2 linked regions of the Xenopus tropicalis genome follow. The protein of the gene in region 1 binds, or shares a complex with, the protein of each later gene. Links are inferred from orthologs where the notes say so. Each region holds a gene or a part of one and is shown on either strand. Other genes may lie near its edges.

Evidence for each region. Proteins that work in one complex are often made in the same cells at the same time.
Region 2: the proteins of map2k1 (region 1) and ksr2 are in contact, whole or in part, in a crystal structure (PDB 7UMB), measured with the Homo sapiens proteins. The link is inferred for Xenopus tropicalis from reciprocal best matches to the Homo sapiens genes MAP2K1 and KSR2. Residues at the interface, in NP_002746.1 of Homo sapiens: Val81, Glu102, Met219, Ala220, Asn221, Ser222, Phe223, Val224, Gly225, Thr226, Arg227, Ser228, Met230, Arg234, Leu235, Gln236, Gly237, Met308, Ala309, Ile310, Phe311, Glu312, Leu314, Asp315, Val318, Asn319; in NP_775869.4 of Homo sapiens: Lys674, Arg818, Asp820, Lys821, Leu822, Arg823, Ile824, Gln825, Asn826, Ile837, Arg838, Gln839, Leu840, Ser841, Pro842, Gln877, Pro878, Ala879, Glu880, Ala881, Ile883, Trp884, Gln885, Gly887, Thr888, Met890.

Annotation. Positions count from the first base shown.
Region 1 is NC_030679.2:117,155,422-117,161,476, reverse strand, and holds part of map2k1 (dual specificity mitogen-activated protein kinase kinase 1), read right to left. Parts: intron 3,896-6,055; coding exon 3,685-3,895; intron 3,571-3,684; coding exon 3,424-3,570; intron 3,143-3,423; coding exon 3,065-3,142; intron 2,870-3,064; coding exon 2,818-2,869; intron 2,256-2,817; coding exon 2,131-2,255; intron 1-2,130. UniProt on the Homo sapiens protein: Dual specificity protein kinase which acts as an essential component of the MAP kinase signal transduction pathway.
Region 2 is NC_030677.2:165,076,769-165,082,823, forward strand, and holds part of ksr2 (kinase suppressor of Ras 2), read right to left. Parts: intron 3,042-6,055; coding exon 2,993-3,041; intron 2,095-2,992; coding exon 1,727-2,094; intron 1-1,726. UniProt on the Homo sapiens protein: Location-regulated scaffold connecting MEK to RAF. Has very low protein kinase activity and can phosphorylate MAP2K1 at several Ser and Thr residues with very low efficiency (in vitro).

The DNA.
Region 1 (6,055 bases):
GGACCCTTTTCTAACAGACCCTGCACTTTAACTCAAGAAAAATTGCATCGCGCCAAATTCCCATAATGGCGACCCTTTCCCATAATTCACAGGCAGTGAAGAGGGAGTGGGGTACAGCTTGGGGCTTATTTCAGTATTAATCCACCCCTACTGAAGATAGATGTACAGAATGTACAAAAGGAAAGAACAAAATGCAAGTATGGATGCAATGCACAGTACTCAGCATGAGCAAAGCAAACTTGACCTGAAAATGAAAATTCTGCTTATTCTTTTCATTAAAAATCTCTAAAGCACAAATTGTTACCCTATTCCCTTGCCCAACTCCTGTAATCAGGATTTTATTTAAATTGATATACAGATATAGGACCCATTATCCAAAATGCTCAGGACTTGGGGTTTTCCAGATAAGGGGTCTTTCCGTAATTTAGATCTCCATACCTTAAGTCTACTAAAAATAATTAAAACATTAATTAAACCCAAAAGGATAGTTTCAACTCCAATAAGGATTAATTCTGTCTTAGCTGGGATCAAGTACAAGGTACTGTTTTATTATTACAGAGAAAAGGGGAAACCAAATTTAAAATTTTGAGTGAGTTTATTAAAATGGAGTCTATGGGAGATGGCCTTCCCATAATTTGGAGCTTTCTGGGTGATAGGTTTGCGGATAATGGATCCCATACCTGTAGTAAGTACCTCTTGCTACCCCAGGTTGGTGTCCATTTTTCTGGTTCTGTGTGTGTGTTGTAGAATGTAATTTTCTAAGAAAATTTTGTTTTTTTTACAACTGCTTAGCTTTTTGTTAAGCAACTTTTCAGTAGGGTCGCCACCTTTTTTTGGAAACACCAGGCTTCCTATATTTTTAACTTTTTTCCCCTTTTAATAACATTGGCATAAAGCATCATTTTTACTGCCCAGGCTGGTAAAATAGTGGCCATGTGGCAACCTTACTCTCCAGTTTGGATCCTAGAAGCCAGATAGCTGTTGAAAGTCCAATGTACCTTGGTAACCAGGCAGTGGTTTGAATTAGAGACCAAAGAACAAATAGGAAAGGGCCTTGATAGAAAAAGAAGTCATAAAAAGTAACTCGGAACAACAGTTTTTTCCCCCATTTGAAAGGTGAAAGAGAAAGGTAAACAATTTAAAAACTATAAAGGAAACAAAGGAAAAGAATGCAAAAAGGCTGCTAATAGGACATTCTATTCTTCTGAAAATTAACTTGAGATTGAATTACCCATATCAACTTCCTTTTACTACTTCCACAATTGTTCTGAAGACCTAAGAAAGTTAGCAAACGGAAGTACTTTATTTGTTCTGCACTAACTGCTGCAAGGTGCACAGAACAGGGCTATTAACAAATTCCTTGCTTTTGAGTCTGCATTACTTCATGGGTACCAAGATGACTTACCTGGTTATAGGAGTTCCTCCCTAACTTATACATCTATATCCACCCCTACACACATACAAACCTTTGTAACTGACCAAGTGTATATGCACTTTGCTTTGTAGCATTACATAATATATACACCATCTGTAATGTAGTAATTAGGGCAGACTCCTTCCAGAATACAAAGAACAAGCATCACCACCCCCAACAGCCAGAATGTGACGAGCTGTAATTACAAACACACACACACACACACACACACACACACGGAGCATTGCACAGTGTGGGAGGGCATTCTCCATCTGCTGCCTGACACACAGTGTGAACACACGTGACTCTGTGCAGAGTGCAGTCGATGCATAAACACATAACATGGCAATAGGAGATCAGCTCCAATGACTGTAACATGTTTCAAATGTATATTTACCTGAAAAATTCACACATTATTGCAAATTCACCATGGAAGGGGTAGGACCATGTTTATTAATATACATTGAGAAAAATGTGGTGTGTTATGGTTTGGGACCCTTGGGGTGTTCAGATCCTAAGAGCAGTAAGATGTATATCAAAGTGAATCTGCCTCAAATAATAGAAACAGCTTTACAAAACCCTTACATGACTACAATTAAATTAATGTACATTTCGTATTTGGGAACCCCTGTGCAACATTGTATTTTCACAAGCACTTAAGAATAGCTGTCACTGAACATATGCTCTGGGGTGAAGAGGAACTGGAGGACACTTACTGACATATAGGATCTTGTCCCAACAAAGGAATTTGCCATGGAGTCTATTAGCTGCCCGCTGACTCCAAAGTCGCAGAGTTTTATCTCTCCCCTAGAGTTGACTAGGATGTTAGAAGGTTTCACATCTGCAAAACAAACAAAAAAAAAAAAATGACTTTTAAAAGGGACATATACCTAACCCAATAACGGAATGTAAAATTGGTAAAAGTGTGTGGGGGCTGGGTAGAATGGCAAAGCTTATTTTATTGAAGCAGGAAGCCTCTCTTGATGCTTTCCTGTTCAGTTCTATTGCTTAGTGACAGGATCAATAGAACACATCCTGATTCAGAAAATAAAGCTAATGTTGTTTAGCAAGGTTGTTACTAAAGAAAATAATAACATTGCAAAGGGGCTCATAAAAGCACTTTGAGCTATTAAACATTAAGATTTACGTAGGGTATATGCCTTTATGCTACTGGAAGCACATTATTTCTCCTCAAACACCTAATCCTAGTTAATAGGAGACATCTCTCTATATAAAGCCATTGTGGTTGGCATGGCACCATTAGTGCTACAGTGAGTTTTTTTTATTGTTACGCTATAACAGCGGTTTTCAATACAGAATGATCTTTCCGGTCCTAAGCTGAACATTTTAAAAGGCGTTATACATCAATGAGTCAATGAGGGCCCTTCCATATAGAAACTTACCTCTGTGCATTATCTTATGCTTCTCTCTCAGGTAGGTTAGACCTTTTATCACCTGCAGTTAGAAATGGATATCAGAATTTGACAGGAGCAAGTGTAACACATGACATTAAAACTTGTAGTATAAATTACAGCTTTTACTTTCCAGGATGCCCTCTATATGAATGAGCATATAATTGGAAGGATTTGATTTTGTTGGATAGTTTTCTTATATATATAAATCACAAATTTGCATTTGCTAAATACTCACTGCAATGCTGACTTTTCCCAAAATTTTCTCAGGGATTTTGCCAGCTTTCTTCAAAACCTGATCAAGGGAGCCTCCATCCTGCAGGGGCAAAAAATAGAAGATCAAGCAAAGAAAATACAAGTTTACACACAGGCCGATTAGTTGCCGCAACTTTTAATTAAGCCAGTAAGACTTTTCAAAGCAGCGACTAATCGCCCTGTGTGTCTTCGCCCTAAAGGTGTACACCTTGTATAGATACAGTCCTGAGTGTATCTGATGCCTCAGCTAATGACTAGAGCACAGTTTAAATCTCCTTATCATTAGCTCATTATCCCAAAGGCTCTGAGCTCTGGCCTTTCAAGTCCCTCCCTAATTCTCACCATGTGTTCCATACAAATGCTGATCTCTCCGTCACTGTAGAAGGCCCCATAGAACCCCACAATGTATGGGGAGTTACATTCATGCAGAACCTGCAACTCTCGGATAATCTGATTTCTGATTGCAGGCTTTATCTCCAGATGAATTAACTGCCAGAAAATAATAGAATATGTCAATCATTGTATTCTTATGCACAAATTAATAACAAATTCACGTTTTCCTTCTGTCTTTATTTCTACTTAAACTCCATTCAAAAATCTCACCTTCCTGGCCATAATCAAGCTAGTCGGCTTGTGGGACACCTTAAACACCACTCCTCCATTGCCTGCTCCAAGCTCCGACACTTTCTCAAAGTCATCATCCTTCAGCTCCCCAACTTTCTGCTTCTGGGTGAGAAAGGCCTCTAGACGCTTCCTCTGCTGCTCATCCAGCTCCAGCTCTTCCAACTTTTTCTGCAGAGCTTCAAGGTTTGTCCTACAAAGAGAAAAGGAAAATAAGAAATCTCAAAGGAGTTTTATGATTCTATAAAAGCAGTGATCCCCAACCAGCTGCTCGGGGACAACATGTTGCTCACCAACCCCTTGGATGTTGCTCTCAGTGTCCCCAAACCAGGTAGTTATGTTTGAATTCCTGACTTGGGGGCAAGTTTTGGCTGAATAAAAACAAGATTTAGCACCAAATAAAGCCCCCTGTAAGCCGATAGTGTGCATTGAGGCTACCTAATGGCCAATCTCTGCCCTTATTTGGCACCTCCATGAACTTTTATGGTGCTTGTGTTGCTTCCCAAGCCTTTTTACATTTGACTGTGGCTAACGAGTAAGAAAAGTTGGGGACCCCTGATAAAAAGGATCAGGGTTGCAGGACATGTGGTTTCACTTTATGGGGTCTGAGCTGACCTGTAATATCAGCTCAGACGTTCTTTTAATACACAGTTGTGTTGGGCACAAGTGGCATTGATGGAGAGATAGATAGGATTTATTCACGGAATTCATAATACTGCGTATTAAACACCGGTGTCACCAGCTCATTTGCCTAGGTATAAACAATTAGCAGCCCACAGTAAGAATGCAACCTACAGCAGAACCACCATGATAGCAAAGCTATGCACTTTAGTCATTTTGCACCAACTGCATTTACCCTACATAGCCTTTTTATCTAGCTAGTAATGCAGACATATTATATCATAGAAAAATATACACATTTTAAATAAAGGAAGGAAAAGCCTTTTTCTGCAGTTACTCTCGTGTAACCATGACAACTCCACTTACAATTATTAGAGTCCTTATTCCCATGGCAATGTATGCTCAAATCCATTACAATGGTGTTCTACACAAAAGAGTTAATTATCTATGCATTGTGTTATCCCAGGCGGATTATCACACACCTGACCACGGTTAATAAGGATCAGTACTTACTGATGGGAACTGTCAAGCTCTTTTATGCGGCACTGAGCAAGCCATGGCATAAATACCCCAACCTCTCTACCTGGGTCTACTTAACCTCATTTTACTTTATAATTCCCATGGACCCGATGGAACATGACATTATGATATAGCTGACCAATGAATAGTGACATAAGTAGACCACATATAGTAAGAAGGTCTTTGTGAGTTATAAAGGCTGTATTGTACTAGACAAGTACAACAATGTAACTGCTAATTACTTTATATGGGTTACAGGATTCTAATTAACCTTTAAAAGACATGGAACCCAGTTCATTTTGCCTAACCCTTTTTATTCCTTGACATACCTTGGTACAAAAAAAAAAAAAACAAAACAAAAAAAAACCCACCACGCAAGAATAACCTCTCAGACCATCTAAAACCATAAATGTGCAATCTGTGGTCCTTTGTGTGATGTTGTTGAGTTGTTTGCTTTTGACTATTGTAGGGGTTCAGAGAGTTTTGGTTCAACAACATGTAGAGGGCCACAGGTTGTCAGTGTCATTCTAATAAGATACAAATACAAGCTGCAATTCTGTCCAAGTTTTTGATATAGGAGGCCAAGAGTGTGATACTTTGTGTGCTGGGCAGGGGGGTTATATTATATAAATTATGCCTTAGAAAGAGGCCTGTAGAGCCTGTGTGAAACCTGGGGCAGGGCATAAGGGAATCAAAGTATGGAACTGTAGTCGGACATGTTAGATTTCAACCATGCCTTTAGAACAGTGCAGACTTTCTTTGCTTGCCTACATTGCAGTAAATATTCTATTAAGTCTGACCATTGTACAAATTCCACTTGAGAAAGAACCTGAACATTCTGTGCAAGTGCACACGAAGTAGCATGGAGGATACCTGCAAGCAATTACTGTACAATAAGCCCTGTGAGTGCAAAACCACTCATCCATACATTCAGACTAAAATTCCAATTGCCAAATTTCTTATTGGAGGCGATATTCTGGCAAATTAAAGTTGAATGGCACCTTCTCATTGCTTGGCTAAAGACACTGCAAACTGTTGCTGGCTTATTTAAAGTCCTGCAATGGAATCAGACAGGACAGAGGACTGTACCCACTGCTGCTTTGTGCAGGGTTCTGAGACTCTCCAGCTATAACAGCAGATATATATGTTCCATTTGAAACAGATTTGGGCTAGGGCTGAGAGCAGTCTGTTCAATTTTATGACCCTGGGAGTT
Region 2 (6,055 bases), on another chromosome or scaffold:
GATCATTGGTTTTTAAATAATGGGATCTTTGTCCCTAAAAGACAAGTTGGCAATAATGAGTTATTGATGCAACCGTGTCTGGAAAATTTATTTTTTCCACATTCTAGTCTATGCATTTGTCAAGATTAAAACAAATAAGCTCTCACTAAAGACTGTTTAAAGGGACAATACTATTTTTTTTAAAAATCCAAGGAGTTAAATTACACTATGTCACACAAGGGTTTAATTGCTGGCTACTCACACTGATAGTGTGATTCAGTGATTCGGTGACTCAGTACCATGTATTTTGACCCCCAAGCAATGCTGTATTGTCCCATATTATTTTCAATAACTAAATGTAACATAACCAGGAACATGATAAACCAAAATATCTAAATAATAAAAATACCAAGCAAATCAGCAAAAGGAACATTAGTGTAGGGCTATTCAAAGCCTGTTCAAAGTGATGTATGAAATTATAATTGTAACACTTACACTAGTAGCAATAGAAATATAAAGAAAAGTGAATTGGCAGCTTATAAAGGCAGTGTTATAAAGAGTTTAATTTCATCATTTTTATTCACATATTTATGCTATTATGGTAAATTAGGTATTTTAAACAGCAAAAACTGCTGTTTCAAGATAATTTAAATAATTGTGGACATCTAGAAAATCCAGCTACAAGACCTTCACTGACTGCATTACCCCAAAATCTGTTTTTAATCAGTAAAGACCACCAACTCTCATTTACTATACATAATTTTTCAAATGATCTGGTAACCCAGAATACATTAAAAATGCAAATCCATTCACACTTTTATAAATGCAAAATCTTATTGCATTTTTATCCCCACATTATACCTATTCCCCTATACTGTTAATCCAAGATTTAAGATTTAAGGTTTACCATTATTAACATTGGCTTAATATTATTATTATCTTCCACTCTATAAACATTGGGCAGCTATAATGTGGTGCACCCACTAATATTTGCAAAGTCATAGCCTAGCCCTCCCATGTACTTCTCTGACATGGATACATATGTTTGTATCAAAAATGCAAAAAAGAAAGACAACATGCAATATGTGCAAGAAGGTATACATTTTATGATCTATAATTCTGGTTGTATATGTCCCCTACGGCAACAAAGATCTGACAGTGCTCTGGACAGCTATCTCCAGGATCTGTGTCCAAAATCAGTAAAGCATCAGCCTTGGAAACATCATCTCTCCTTGTCAAATAGCAAGACATTCTTGATCTGCAGCTTTGATCAGTAATTCTTTATATAGGCAGTACCCTTAGGTCTAGCTTCTTAGGCTTTTCCCTGCACACGGCACTGAAAGTATTTGCATACTGGTAGAACATTGAAAGTATGAGGTGAGAATTATTGTAGCATTACAGTAGCTCCATTACTGGAAATAAGGTCACAATGCTCTGGCAAAAAAAATTAACCTAAAACGTAGCTCTTCTATAGTCATAAACCTGGCAGTAAAAAAATTCAGTAATTTGTTCATTTAATACATCTCAAAATAGATTTAAACAACAGTACATGATTTGTGCACTTTTTTTTTCTTTCTGATAAGGCACTATCATGTTTAACTTTTAAATGTTTGGCACAGTGAAGCCAAGAACACATTCTAAAATTTTTCCTGGTACGGTGCTTAATAGAACATGGCATACAGGAAAAGCTCTTTCTAGTACATGTAGTAAAACAGTGCTCAATACCAAAAAATTAGACTGACATTACCTGGTGATAATTGCTAGGTGTGGTGGGCTCATACACGCTCCCATGAAGAGAACAACATTTTCATGCCGTGTTTGTCTGTAAGCCATTACTTCCCTCTTGAAAGCTTTCAGTTGGTCCTCATTGTCTCTCTCAATGTCAATGAGTCTGATGGCCACTTCCCCATGCCATCGTCCATGATAAACCAAGCCAAATCGGCCTTTGCCAATCATCTCCCCAATTTCTAGCTGTTCAAATGGAATATCCCACTCCTGTAGAAATATGCTGGTCTGACTGGCTTTACGGGGAAAGTTCCTGGCTGACAGCAGTAAGTGGTTCATTTCCTCAAAGTCATCTTCAGACTCTTCTGCTCGTTCATTGCCATCTTCATTCTGTAGGCAGAAGTGAGAATATGCACCAGGTTTATTTGCAAAAAGTATGTTCCTGCTATCGGAGGCTGAAATAAGTGTCCTTTTAAAAGTAGTGCCCTCAGGAACATCTGTTTGAGCTTGCTAAAGCAAAGCTTTGTCTTTTAAGTAATTAAACCTCAAAGTGTAGGACCAATATTATTAATACTTCTTATGATGCTTCCTCAGAAGTAAAAATGAGATTTTTGTATGGATCAAGGACTTTACAAATTAATGTGATAAAGTTTTTCCATTTTTCATTTTCAAATTCACATAACAAATTCATGTAAATAAAAGTTCTTAATTCAATGGAAATGTATAAATAAAAATACATTAAATAAGGGATCTGGTTTTTATACTTAAGTAATTGCTGTCAATTCAAATTTCACAAAAGTTTTTGACAGCATATCAAGAAGTAATAAAATCCTGCTTACATGTTACAAGGACTGAGACTGAACAGGTATTGGATGGTTACCATTATAACTTTCAATAATGTAGTAAGTCTGAATCAATAAACATGAGTTCGGCAGATTACACAGAGTAAACATTAACACAATTAAATGATTGTACTCCTGCCTTCTCATCCATATTCATCACAGATATATGGCTGACATTTTCCAATTACCAGTTCCTTTAATTAGGTACAAAAAAAACTTTAGTCAATATATCTTTTGTTATTTCTCGTTATCAGGGGTGATACTTTTTAACCTGCTTCAACAATGTAGACATTGGCCTTCATTTGCTTTACTACAGTATATCCAAGAGCTGATTGCTGAGTAGTTGCTATGGATTACTACTCTGCAGTAAAAGTACAAGTGTTTTGTGATTTCCCATTAACCACTGAACAACAGCAATTTTTTTCCAGAAACAAGGCAAACCTTACCTCAGACGTTGGCTCGACTTCAATTTGAAGCAATGGATTTCCTTCATTACTACAATACAGAAAATAAGTTTATGAATTATCTGCCTTTACTTCTGTTTAGTAAAAACGAAAAACTGATTTTCAGTAGTAGACTCCACCAGTACTTTTACATGCCGAACCTCTCACAGTTTTCATGTGCATTTGCAAATTGTGTGTAACTTTTTTGTTGTCGTATTTAACATCAGGTCTAAAACCAGAAAATATACAGACATAGGATCTATTATCCAGAATGCTCAGGTCCTTCAGACAAGTATTCTTTTTCCTAATTTGGATTATCATACCTTAAGTCTCCTACAATACATTCGAATTTTAAATAAATTAAATAAGATTGTCATTCTACCAATACTAATGTATGCTATATTAGTAGGACCAAGTACAAGGTACTCTTATTATTACATTGAAAAAGGAAATCATTTAAAAAAAATATTGCTGAAAATTGACTTTATGGGAAATGCCCTTCCCTTAATTCAGAGTTTTCAGCATAAGCATAAGAGATCCCAAACCTGTACTCTATCTCTAAGTAGGGATTTATTAATTTATGAGCAACCTTTCCTACCTTTATGTTATGCCTACATGCTAAACTACTGTGTATGAAGTGCATGTTAAGTCATTAGTAAAGCCTTTCAGTAAAGTCATGTGTATATGCAGGCCTTAAGCGACAGCACTGACTAAGACAAAACAACAATACTGGGCTCATTTACAAATAAAGCTGCATTGCAGGCACATTAACATTGAAGCAATTGTTGCTAGTATTTACACAATTAGTTAAATATACTGAGGTCTGAACACCCTCCTTGCACCAAGCACCAATGCACACTCCCAGTCTGCTCTAAGGAATCGTGTATAAGTGCACCTATTGACACTAGGAAACCCTGGAGTTACCACCAACCTGAATAAGGTTCCCACAGTGGGTTGAATTAATAGACACAGCAGATTTGTATACAAAGAATCACATGCAAACAGCATTTTAACATGGAAATGACACAATCCCAACTCTGACAACTTTTATTCCAGTTCACACAAATGTGCACTACAGGTATGTTCTTTTTGATGCAGTGGGGGCAAATGCAGCAGGCACAAATTCAAATTATGCTGAAATTGTGAGGGAAACATTGCATTATGGGTAAAACATGATTTACTTCTGAAATTGAATTTTGACACTACACTTGCCATCATAAAGGAGTCCTCATATCTTGCACACAATGTAAAACCATGGCAATTTAAGCACATTTTATATGTCTATTGCTTATTGAACCTTTTGGGATTACTAAATCAACATATATTAACATGTTGATTTTTTGCCATTATATTTTTATTTATTGACATCAAAGGGCTCTGCCATTTTGTTTACTCTGTAAAGCAAAGTACAGTCACCCTCAAGCTTCATGAACTATGCCATCAGTCATCAATTTATCTTTATTATCATTATTTAACATGCATAATTTATAAATAAACCATCAATTTGATATTGTAAGCAACACAGTATAACAGATATAATAAGTGCTTATAACATTTCCTGATTGGTGTATAGGGCATTTGCAATGTAAGAAAGTTGCATTGCCAGATTATCTAAGGAGAAAATGGTCCCCTTAACAAAATAGATGGTAGCACTGGGTTAAACCAGGGATCTGGAAGCAGCAAAACAAGATACAGAACTAAATAGAAGAGTTTGGCTTGTACACTGAAATAAGACATGCAGGGAGAAACCTGAGAATGCACTAATAATGAGCAGTAATTTCGGAGATACCAAACCCAATCATTTATCAAGTGAATAAAAAGAAGAAGCATTTTTATGCTTCTGAGAATGGAGATAATGAAGTGTATTGCAGTTCATTGCAGAGAGGCTATAAAAATTGAATAAGTGTAATAATCTTTCTAGATTACCTTTCAAATAAATTTCAACTCCATCCTTAATAGAACATTTAAACCAAACACTACTGTTCTGCTCAAATCTGAGGGCTAGGGACTAGAATCTGGGTAGTAGGTAGTGGAAAATACAACAATAGGAATTACTGCTTCTTGTAGGAAAATACAACACTAGGAATTACTGCTTCTTGTAGCTTCGGCTACAAAAGTAGTAACAGTGCAGCAAAAGTGCTCTACTACAAGCTCTCTGTGTAAATTAACAACATAATAACAATGTATTACTATAAGGAATGATAGGACTTTTTAAAATAATTGTGAAGAAGTGGAGCATCTTACAGTTTTCTGTATATCAAATGGTAAGGTGCAAAATCTACATCTACTAATCAACTGTCTTGAAACCAATTGGCCAATACGACAATTAGCATTATCAGCAGCTGTTATTTTCCAACTTTTGTTATTACTGACAAGCTTTTTCTAGTTACTTTTGTAAGCTGGTAAGACCCTCACTTCTGTAAGAAAGGTACAATCTATGCCCAAGCATGGAAGGGTTGGCCAACAAACAAGATTCAGTTGGATTGCCAAATAGATATAATGCAGAATAGCGTGCCTCTCTGTTTGTATCACTGAGATTTGACCATTATTGCAGCAAAAAAACAGAACAGAACAAAACTAAAGAAGATTCCATTTATTACAGTAGTTCTGCACAAGAGACAAAGCCACTGTGTTGCTTCATATAAACCAAGGATAAACTAAAGCCATAAGCAAACTAAATAATCACTGGGGACATAATGTTATACTTTTTTCCTAACTACAGTTTTTAACTGCACCTCCCCAGGGTGCCACTGAGTTGCCTAGAAAAATCTTGTTATTGTAGGATTTGTTAGGCGACTGATGGTTTCCAATTACAGGGTCTCTTTCTTTTACTAGATCAAAAGTGAATTTCTAGGTGCAGGGAACCAAATAAGCACAAAACGAAATGAAACAGGACCTCAATCAGTATTTTGATAACAGTTTAATGATGATCTACCAAGGTAATCACAGTGGTATATTTAATTGATTAAAGCTAAATAATGATGCCCAAAACAAAAATTTGTTTGTACAATGTGTTTTGCTTGTTAATAAAAATGCAGCAATAATATAATTCAAAAATAGTTAAAG